3 linked regions of the Macaca mulatta genome follow. The protein of the gene in region 1 interacts with the protein of each later gene in a pairwise test. Links are inferred from orthologs where the notes say so. Each region holds a gene or a part of one and is shown in the gene's direction. Other genes may lie near its edges.

Region 1 (4,223 bases):
CCTGCTGGCCTAGCCTCCTAGACTTAGCAGGCCTGAGAGGCTGGGAGAGAGGTGCTTTAGGGAGACTGGGGGAGCAGCCCCTGAGACCTTTCCACACATACACACTGTGCTGGGACATGCTGGCCCACAAGGGAGATAAAGCACAGTGCTCACAGCCAGGCCATTCCTGGTCAGGCCCCCAGTCCCAGAGCCCCAGCGGTACCACTCTTGGCAGGCCTAGACGGGGAGAAAATTAGGAGTGGGGTTCCCGACTTCCATCTCCCACCAGTGTCTGGGTGGTCTTGGCTGGTCCTTTCAGTTCTAATCAAAGACAAAGCCTCAGTTTTTCTGTCTCTAACCTGGGGAGAACCACATCCTCGCTGCTGCTCTTTCTGGAGGGGGGGTAGAGAGGGAGGCTGGGAGGCCTCTGCAAAGCAGGAGTCTTCTGCCTCCTGGCTGCCAGGCTGGTCCTGCTCTTCGGCCAGATTAAAAGAATCTCCAACATGGGGCCCAAAATAGGTAGAAATGAGGCAGGCCACAGGGGCCTCCCAAACACCTCTGACCACCACCCAGCACCCCAGATCCCTCCTCTTCTAGCCCAGGATTTCTGATGATCCTTCAAAGCCCAGTTCAGACCTCACCTCTCTATAGAACAACTCCCCACCCCAGGCCAACGACTAGCCTCTCCTCATTCTGCCATCTCACCTCACCAAAAGCACTTAGAACCCTGCCTGGTGTGCTGCAAATGCTCCACTAAAAGACATACTTTGTCTTCGTAATAATTTCTTGCAGCACTCAGAACTGAACCACAATCTTTGGTTCATACTCTAGTGCCATCACTGGCCCATCATGGCTTTCTTTAGTTGTTTAATTCTAATTTATTTTCAATAATATAATGAACTCCCATTAACTGACCACCCAATCTAAAAACCCAAAGGTTTAGAATGTATGCTCTTACCCTCTTCTCTCCCCCATCTTCCCACCCACCCTCCCAGAAGAAACCATCCTCTTGAAGTTTGTGTTTATTATTATCAAATAAATGGAAGACTATAGGTACCCAAAGAGGCACGATGGCTGGTAGATTCTTCAACAGAAGTAGCTGTTTTACCGATCAAGCTGCCACGCTCTTGAGAGCAGTGTCTGGCTTCCTCTTTTGCTGCAGTGTGAGCGGCATGGGGCTGGCCATGCCACAGGGTCGGTGGAGACTATGTGAGGCACCAAGAACAGGAAGGGTGAGGCCTGAGTGCCAGGCGGCAGGTGGAACACAGCTCCAGGAATAGGGAAAAGAGATTCGTGTTCTAGCTCACTGCACCTGGACAGGTGCCTGTGTGACTTTGGCCCTGCCCTGTGACATCACACAATGTTGCCCAGGTGACCCAGCTAGGTGGAAAAGCTCACTGCTTTTCCAGGCCTGGGCAGAGAGAGGGCTCTCCCATCTCTCCACCGTCCTGGGAGTGCCAAGAGTCAATCGCCTCGTTGCTGACCCTGTCCAACTGGCCATGGCCTGCAACCCCCTAGGCCCCTCCACCCATAGACCATCTTGCTGCTGAGAGATCGAGGACCTGCCCCCACCTGGCCACCCTCCCCCTTCCCCAACATCCAGACCCCAGGGCTGGTGTGTGGCACCCCTGAGACCACATTGACCTCCATACTGTCCACTAACCATAAGGACTCCAAGACGCCCAGGCCAACTGTCTGGGCAGGACTGATGCCTGATCACCCACTTATACCAGGTACTCGTCCCCAAGATTGTTAAACAAGGCCAGACACTCCTGGCCTCAAGAGGATGGGACTGAAAAACAAAAAGGTAAGGCCAGGGGAATGGGCCACACACCTGCATGAATCCATCCCTCCTTCAAAGTCTCTCCTTCAAAGTTTCATTTGTTCCTTAATCATGACAAAAGCTTCCCTTCTCTGGGCCTCAGTTTTCACAGCTGTGAAATGGGGAGTGAGGCGGTCTCTGTGGCTCTCCCAGGTTAGCTGCCCTATACTCTTGGGCCACGTGGGAACTGGAATGCAGTGTACTTGCGGGTGTTGTCAGTGCTGACCACCCTTACCTGCTTGTTTCTGCCCTCTTGTTGCTGGGGTCACACAGTCTGAGAGCCCACTGAGATGGTTCATTACCCCCATCCAATATCTCCCAGGATATTCCCAGGCTGCTACCTTGGCAGCCCTGATGCCCCCACTGCCCCCATGCTCTCCTAGCCCTGGCCCTGATTTTCTGGGGCCTAGGCCCCTGCCCTGGAACGCAGATGCTTGGGTCTCTGGAGAGAAGGGATTTTTGTGTGTTTTGTTCATCTCTGTATCCCCAGCACTCAGAACAGTGCCTGGCACATAGTGGGTGCTTAATAAAAAGCTGTGGCCTAGCAGCAGGGTTCTGCCAGGAAGGGACTAGAATCTTATTGCAATGAGATATAAACAGTTCAGTGCAAGGGACCCCTTACCTTCCTCTCACTAGCAAGGCAGAGCCCCTGCCCTAGATGGTGTTACCCACAGGGATACCAGAAGGAGCTGAGACCAAAGGCACATCGGTACTTGCAAACGGGGAATACCCTCTTTGTAGTTATACTCAGCTTGAATAAGCCAAATAGCTGGGGGTGCTCAGGCCTTAGTGTGATTTCCACTTTATTACCCTTGATTTTGATGTCTCTGGTTCCTGATGTTCTCTGCCCACAGCTGCCCCTGAACCTCCGCAGACTCCACCCTCCCCATTAAGACTCTTTCTGTAATGCCACACACTCAGGACCAGGCACCAGTTTGATCTGGCACCCTAAGCTGCCAGGTGGTCCCCACCTGCCCCACATAGCTGGGATTGGGGATCCAGGGAGTGTGCGTGGGAGTCCTGAGAAGGAGCCAAGGTTGCTTTGATTGGTAGCTTTGAGAAGCACTTTGATAGCTGGGTAGAATCGCCCATAAGGATGCTCATCATGGCCGGGGGGGTGGCTCACGCCTGTAATCCCAGCACTTTGCGAGGCTGAGGCAAGTTTAAGACCAGCCTGGTCAACATGGTGAAACCCCGTCTCTACTAAAAATACAAAAATTAGCTGGGTTTGGTGGGACACAGCTGTAATCCCAGTTACTCAGGAGGCTGAGGCAGGAGAATAGTTTGAACCTGGGACATGAAGGTTGCAGTGAGCCGAGATCGTTCCACTGCACTCCAGCCTAGGCAACAGAGTGAGATTCCGTCTCAAAAAAAAAAAAAAAATGATGTTGGCCAGGCACAGTGTCTCACTCCTGTAATCCCAGCACTTTGGGAGGCCAAGGCAGGAGTTTGAGACCAGCCTGGCCAACATGTTGAAACCCTGTCTCTACAAAGAGCGAAACTCCGTCTCAAAAGAAAAAAAAAAAAAAAAAAAGGATGCTCATCATGTATATAATATATATATTTGTGTTTCTTCTTTTGTGAATACCCAGTTCATGTTTTTTTAATTGGGTAATGCTTATAGGTTTCAGTGCTCTTTGTATACTACGGATATTAATCCTTTTTTAAATATATAGCAAACATTTTCTCCTTTTTTCCTTTTCTTTGTATTGCAGGGCATTTTGGATCATTACAGAAGTTTGTATAGATTTTTTAAATGTAATCAAACCTATCCTTTTTTAATGATTTCTGACTTTTGTGTCATCTTTGGGAATGCTTCTCTGCTCCAAAGAACACAATTCCTCTTGCTGCCACCAATGGATACTCAGGTTATGAGTTCAACGGGGTATCCACTGTGGAGCAGAGAAGGGACCCACATCCAAGGAAGCATGGTCAGAGCACAGCAGAGACAGCAAGAGCGTGGGGTCAGACGGACCCTGCTTCCAGTTCCAGCCCCGGCCCCACTAGCTAAGCCGTGTGCTTTCACGCAAGAGGTTTACTTTCTCTGAGTGTGCTTCCTCACCTGAAAAAGAGCTTTCCCCTGACCACCGTAACTCCCAGGCAAGTTTAGATGCCAAAGCTAGAAGGAACATGGGGAACCATTTTTAACTGAAAGTCCTTGTGAAACTGCTGGGAAATAGCCCCACTGCAGTCAAATAACTCGCCTAAATGACAGATCCGGGCAGTCAGGCACCCTGCCTCGCAGCCCAGCCCCTCTCCAGCTGGTGTGACTTTTCAGATGCAGGGTCCTTCTGGAGGGCAGAACCGGGCTCAGCTCCTCAGGCCTCCCAGACTGCTGGAGGAGAGGGGTGGCAAGGGAGGCGTGGGTGGAAGAGTTTGTTTCCTTCCATCTCTCTCCCCACCAGAACCAAGTTAAGCTCCC
Region 2 (3,033 bases), on another chromosome or scaffold:
GTCCAGCTCAGTCATGTGTCCGGATGCACGGTCCCAGTGCCCTGATGGTTCTACCTGCTGTGAGCTGCCCAGTGGGAAGTATGGCTGCTGCCCAATGCCCAATGTGAGTGAGGGGCTGGAGCCAGCTTGGCTGTGTGCCCCCAGCCACTTGGCCCTGACATGCACCTTACGGGGCTCTGGGGCATGGGGCTGGCTGGCTGCTTGCTGGGAGCCTGGCTGATGCAGGGTTCATGCCACCCCCTAGTGGAGGATTGGGGCAGTGCCAGCCATCAGCCTGGCTGCTCCCTGTGCTCTGCTGAGCCTGGAAGTGACAAAGACTCACCCGTCCCCACCCAGGCCATGTGCTGCTCCGACCACCTGCACTGCTGCCCCCAAGACACTGTGTGTGACCTGATCCAGAGTAAGTGCCTCTCCAAGGAGAACACTACCATGGACCTCCTCACTAAGCTGCCTGCACAAACAGGTACCAGAGGCAGGGCACAGATACAGGGGTGGGGCCCTCTTTCCTCCCTTTTAGGCCTGGCCTTAGGATCACTGCAAGGTGGTGTAGGTGGTGCCCTCCATCTTCAACACCTGGTGCCAGCTGTGGAGCCGGCAAAGGGTGGATACCGCTGAGGGTCCCCAGTGCCACTTCTGATCTGTCCTCTCTGCCTCCCTCACAGTGGGAGACGTGAAATGTGACATGGAGGTGAGCTGCCCAGATGGCTATACCTGCTGCCGTCTACAGTCGGGGGCCTGGGGCTGCTGCCCTTTTACCCAGGTACCCAGGGGTGGTGGGTGGGTGCGCTGAGCAGTGTGGCAGCCAACTGGGCCCCAGTGCCCACTGGCCCTTCTCCATCTGCCCTAGGCTGTGTGCTGTGAGGACCATATACACTGCTGTCCCGCGGGGTTTACGTGTGACACGCAGAAGGGTACCTGTGAACAGGGAACTTACCAGGTGTCCTGGATGGAGAAGACCCTAGCTCACCTCAGCCTGCCAGACCCGCAAGCCTTGAAGAGAGATGTCCCCTGTGATAATGTCACCAGCTGTCCCCCCTCCAATACCTGCTGCCAACTCATGTCTGGAGAGTGGGGCTGCTGTCCAGTCCCAGAGGTACATGGGAGGGGACAGCATCGTGGCCTGGGCAGGTGGGTGGCCAAACTCCTATTGCTTTCCGCCCTCCGCATGGCCAGTAGGTGACACCCAGCTCTGTCAGATTCGTTCCCAGCTGGAGGTGCTGTAAGCAGGAGAGGCGGGCTGGAGTAGGTAGGGGCTCGGCACTGTGCCCCACCCCACATAGTGACTACCTAGAACGCCCTTTCCTGCCCACCCCCCAGGCTGTCTGCTGCTCGGACCACCAGCACTGCTGCCCCCAGGGCTACACGTGTGTAGCCGAGGGGCGGTGTCAGCGGGGAAGCGAGATCGTGGCTGGACTGGAGAAGATGCCTGCCCGCCAGGCTTCCTTATCCCACCCCAGAGACATGGGCTGTGACCAGCACACCAGCTGCCCAGTGGGGCAGACCTGCTGCCCAAGCCTGGGTGGGGGCTGGGCCTGCTGCCAGTTGCCCCACGTGAGTACCTCCCTGCCTGCCCCTGGATAGGGGAGCTAAGCCCGGCGAGGGGACAGGAATGTAACGCCATTCTGTGCTCCCTTCCCCGCCAGGCTGTGTGCTGCGAGGATCGCCAGCACTGCTGCCCGGCTGGCTACACCTGCAACGTGAAGGCCCGATCCTGCGAGAAGGAAGTGGTCTCTGCCCAGCCTGCCACCTTCCTGGCCCGTAGCCCTCACGTGGGTGTGCAGGACGTGGAGTGTGGGGGAGGGCACTTCTGCCATGATAACCAGACCTGCTGCCGAGACAACCGAGGGGGCTGGGCCTGCTGTCCCTACCGCCAGGTGAGTGCCATCCCCCACCCTGGGGCTGGGTATGGCCAGGGACCAGGTCCCACCTCATCCAACCCTCTCACCCCCCTCTGACCACCCAGGGCATCTGTTGTGCTGATCGGCGCCACTGCTGTCCTGCTGGCTTCCGCTGCGCAGCCAGGGGCGCCAAGTGTTTGCGCAGGGAGGCCCTGCGCTGGGACGCCCCTTTGAGGGACCCAGCCTTGAGACAGCTGCTGTGAGGGACACTACTGAAGACTCTGCAGCCCTCGGTACCCCACTCGGTGGGTGCCCTCTGCTCAGGCCTCCCTAGCACCTCTCCCCAACCAAATTCTCCCTGGCCCCCATTCTGAGCTCCCTATTACCATGGGAGGTGGGGCCTCAATCTAAGGCCTTCCCTGTCAGAAAGGGGTTGTGGCAAAAGCCACATTACAAGCTGCCATCCCCTCCCCATTTCTGTGGACCCTGTGGCCAGGTGCTTTTCCCTATCCACAGGGGTGTTTGTGTGTGTGCGTGTGTGAGTTCCAATAAAGTTTGTACACTTTCTTAAAAGTGTCTGATTTGCCGCCCTGCCTGCCCTCCCCAGGGCCCCAGAGCAAGGGTTCATGTCCACTGCCAACACTCCCTTCCCCTACCCCACAGAAAGACACACACAGCCTTAACCTCACCAGTTTTGTATTTGCTGCTGCCCACATCGGCTGTATCACATTACCCCCTAGTCCCCAGAGCTGTCCCAGCCACCAGCCCTGTGACATCGTAGCCCAGAGATGGGCTAGTCAGCAAGCAGCACCCCCTCCCCTCCCAGGGGTCCAGAGAGAACGCCCCCTCCCTTCCCAGCCCTCACACTAGCAGCTGAGGCTGGGTCACCCCTCCTGCTTTCCCACAATAGAGCTTTCTATGTACAGCCACGTCTACACAGGCACTGCTTCCCCCCAGCCCTCCTCCCCGGCACCTCCCCTTGGGGGCTGGACCCCCCTTCCTCCCCGGCTTGGAGGCAGACACAGGGTCCCTTGCAAGACACAACCCAGCACCTACCACGGAACGGCTCCAAGGCCCCTGGGCCCCTCTCCAGCCTGGGCCTGGGGGCTACGCGCGAGGGCCCCCGCAGGCCCCGGGGGCGCGCACCCTGGGTGCGGGCTCGCGCGGGAGGGGCGGTGCCAGGCCCGGCGCCGGC
Region 3 (3,649 bases), on another chromosome or scaffold:
GTGTTTGCCTGAGTTGGGGGTGGGGCCAGGAGACCACCCCTGGGCCTGGCCACTCTCGGAGAGGCCAGCTGCACTCTGCAGGGTCCTGGCTTCAGTCTCTCCGGGTGTTTTGTGCTGGGCTTGGGGCAGCCACCGGGAGAGTCCAGCCTCGTGTCAGACACTCAGAAACCCCCAACCCAAGCTGAACGTGGCCCTAAATCTGAGGCTAAATCCAGGCTCCCTGCGCTGGCTTCAGACTGGCAGTTCCTGAAGGATGAGCCCCTGCCCTGTGTCCCCGACTCTCCCTCCAGCATGAGCCTGAGCCCCTGCCCTGTGTCCCCGACTCTCCCTCCAGCATGAGCCTGAGCCCCTGCCCTGTGTCCCCGACTCTCCCTCCAGCATGAGCCTGAGCCCCTGCCCCACTGGTGTCCCCGACTCTCCCTCCAGCATGAGCCTGAGCCCCTGCCCTGTGTCCCCGACTCTCCCTCCAGCGTGAGCCTGAGCCCCTGCCCTGTGTCCCCGACTCTCCCTCCAGCGTGAGCCTGAGCCCCTGCCCTGTGTCCCCGACTCTCCCTCCAGCGTGAGCCTGAGCCCCTGCCCTGTGTCCCCGACTCTCCCTCCAGCGTGAGCCTGAGCCCCTGCCCTGTGTCCCCGACTCTCCCTCCAGCGTGAGCCTGAGCCCCTGCCCTGTGTCCCCGACTCTCCCTCCAGCGTGAGCCTGAGCCCCTGCCCTGTGTCCCCGACTCTCCCTCCAGCGTGAGCCTGAGCCCCTGCCCTGTGTCCCCGACTCTCCCTCCAGCGTGAGCCTGAGCCTCTGCCCTGTGTCCCCGACTCTCCCTCCAGCGTGAGCCTGAGCCCCTGCCCTGTGTCCCCGACTCTCCCTCCAGCATGAGCCTGAGCCTCTGCCCTGTGTCCCCGACTCTCCCTCCAGCGTGAGCCTGAGCCCCTGCCCTGTGTCCCCGACTCTCCCTCCAGCATGAGCCTGAGCCTCTGCCCTGTGTCCCCGACTCTCCCTCCAGCGTGAGCCTGAGCCCCTGCCCTGTGTCCCCGACTCTCCCTCCAGCATGAGCCTGAGCCTCTGCCCCACTGGGATGACTGGGAGAGGCCGAGGGAGGAGTTCACGCTCTGCAGGAAGCTGGGGTCTGGCTACTTTGGGGAGGTCTTCGAGGGGCTCTGGAAAGACCGGGTCCAGGTGGCCATTAAGGTGATTTCTCGAGGTGAGTGAGCCCCGGTCAGGGCTCTGTGTGGCCCCGTGCCCACCCTGGGCCACCCTCCCGCCCCGCCAACAGGGACCTCTGGCCTCGAGCCCCACGCAGCACCCACAGCACCCATGCAGGAGTGGTTCCCTTTCAACTGCACCTGTTTTTACCTAAATACATTAATTGTAAAAGAAAATTTCAGGCCTGGCACAGTGGCTCACACCTGTAATCCCAGCACTTTGGGAGGCCGAGGTGGGCAAATCATGAGGTCAGGAGTTTGAGACCAGCCTGGCCAACATGGGGAAACCCTGTCTCTATTAAAAATACAAAAAAACTAGCCGGGCGAGGTGGCGGGCGCCTGTAGTCCCAGCTACTCGGGAGGCTGAGGCAGGAGAATGGCGTGAACCCGGGAGGCGGAGCTTGCAGTGAGCCGAGATGGCGCCCACTCACTCCAGCCTGGGTGACAGAGCGAGACACCCTCTCAAAAAGAAAAGCTTCCCTGGAAATTGCCTGGGCCCCAGCAGAGGTCTGGCCTCCACGTCAGAGGTCTGGGCCGGGCGCAGGAAGACATTGGGGGGCCACCACGGCCCCATGGGTATGCCAGGCTGGCGGCTTGTGGGGCCGGCTGTGTCCGCCATTTTGTGGCCTCAGGAGCCAGGTGCCCTGTCGGGGGCAGGAGGTCCGGTGTTCTGCACAGCTGCTGAGTGTGTGGGCAGAGCCTTGCCTTGGCCTCTTCCTTGGGGCCAGGGGAGGGTCAGGGGCTGCACCTGCCAAGGCCACCCATCCCCGCAGACAACCTCCTGCACCAGCAGACGCTGCAGTCGGAGATCCAGGCCATGAAGAAGCTGCGGCACAAACACATCCTGGCACTGTACGCCGTGGTGTCCGTGGGGGACCCTGTGTACATCATCACGGAGCTCATGGGCAAGGGCAGCCTGCTGGAGCTGCTTCGTGGTGAGTGGCACGGGCCGGGGCTCTCGCTGGAGGTAAAGGGGGTGCACGAGGAAATAAAGTGCACACACACCCCCACGTCTGCACGCACACACACACACACACACACACACAGACACACACACGCAGACACATAGACAAACGCGCACACACACAGAGACACATGCACACACACAGACACACATGCACACAGACACAGACACACGCACACACACAGACACACATGCACACAGACAGACACACGCACACACACAGACACACATGCATAGACACACATGCACACACATGCACACACAGACACACAAACGACACACAGATCACACGGACACACACAGACACACAGACACAGATCACACGGACACACCAGGCACACACAGACACACACACATACACACAGACACACATGCAGACAGACACACATGCACACACATGCACACACAGACACACAAACAAGACACACAGATCACACGGACACACACACACAGACACACAGACACAGATCACATGGACACACCAGGCACACACACACACACACACACACACACACAGACACACACACACACAGACACACCAGGCACACACACACACGGACACACACACACGGACACACACGGACACACACACACGGACACACACACACAGACACACACAGACACACACACACACACACACAGATCACATTGGCTCAAAGACTTCATCGTCTCTAAGTTCCATTATTTCCTTTATCACCAAAATCAAAGACAATCGCTGCAGGGAATTGAGATGCCCGTGCGTGAAGACGCAGTTTGGATTCCAATGTTAGAATGGGAGGGAACGTTGTGGTGGAGGAAAAATGCCGTGTGTGTCTGAGGAGAGCTACATTGAGGTGCCACTCACGTTTGAGCTCTGAGTGAAAGGCTCCGTGATCATCTCAGACAGTCCCCACGCCCTTCAGGGTCCTCCGCGACGGAACGGGGGGTTAACAGGCACCACCAGGCCGCATGCTGCTGTCACTCAGCCATTATCCTGCTCAAGTTCCCGCCGCCTACATCACGCAGTCATGAGCTTCTTCGCTGGTCCTTCCGCGTCGAGCTTCTCCCGCGTCATAGCAAACTTCCAGAAAGGAAATCGCTGGGCTAGGCCACTAGGAACCACTCCTTGGTTCTTTTTTTTTTTTTTTTCTGAGACTCACTCTGTCATCCAGGCTGGAATGCAGTGGCGCGGTCTCGGCTCACTGCAAGCTCCGCCTCCCAGGTTCACACCATTCTCCCGCCTCAGCCTCCCGAGTAGATGGGACTACAGGCGCCACCACCACGCCCGGCTCATTTTTTGTATTTTTAGTACAGATGGAGTTTCACCGTGTTCACCAGGATGGTCTCAACCTCCTGACCTCATGATCCACCCGCCTCAGCCTCCCAAAGTGCTGGGATTACAGGCGTGAGCCTCCACACCTGGCTTGCTCCTTGGTTCTTGACACACAGTTGCCTTCCACAAGGGCGGTGGCTGACCTGCAGTTCCAATTTTCAACCAGGCCAGCTGCC

What was found.
Region 2: the proteins of CCDC33 (region 1) and GRN interact in binary tests that used the Homo sapiens proteins (3 or more experiments, as listed by UniProt). The two-hybrid records come from large-scale screens. The link is inferred for Macaca mulatta from reciprocal best matches to the Homo sapiens genes CCDC33 and GRN.
Region 3: the proteins of CCDC33 (region 1) and PTK6 interact in a two-hybrid assay, tested with the Homo sapiens proteins (2 studies listed by BioGRID and IntAct). The two-hybrid records come from large-scale screens. The link is inferred for Macaca mulatta from reciprocal best matches to the Homo sapiens genes CCDC33 and PTK6.

What each region holds. Positions count from the first base shown.
Region 1 is NC_133412.1:52,149,618-52,153,840, forward strand, and holds the start of CCDC33 (coiled-coil domain-containing protein 33), read left to right. Parts: upstream 1-1,380; 5' UTR 1,381-1,765; coding exon 1,766-1,786; intron 1,787-4,223.
Region 2 is NC_133421.1:68,729,156-68,732,188, forward strand, and holds the end of GRN (progranulin), read left to right. Parts: coding exon 1-103; intron 104-336; coding exon 337-463; intron 464-662; coding exon 663-760; intron 761-847; coding exon 848-1,093; intron 1,094-1,317; coding exon 1,318-1,551; intron 1,552-1,643; coding exon 1,644-1,874; intron 1,875-1,963; coding exon 1,964-2,101; 3' UTR 2,102-2,411; downstream 2,412-3,033. UniProt on the Homo sapiens protein: Secreted protein that acts as a key regulator of lysosomal function and as a growth factor involved in inflammation, wound healing and cell proliferation. Regulates protein trafficking to lysosomes, and also the activity of lysosomal enzymes.
Region 3 is NC_133415.1:116,406,683-116,410,331, reverse strand, and holds part of PTK6 (protein-tyrosine kinase 6), read left to right. Parts: intron 1-1,042; coding exon 1,043-1,196; intron 1,197-1,970; coding exon 1,971-2,132; intron 2,133-3,649. UniProt on the Homo sapiens protein: Non-receptor tyrosine-protein kinase implicated in the regulation of a variety of signaling pathways that control the differentiation and maintenance of normal epithelia, as well as tumor growth.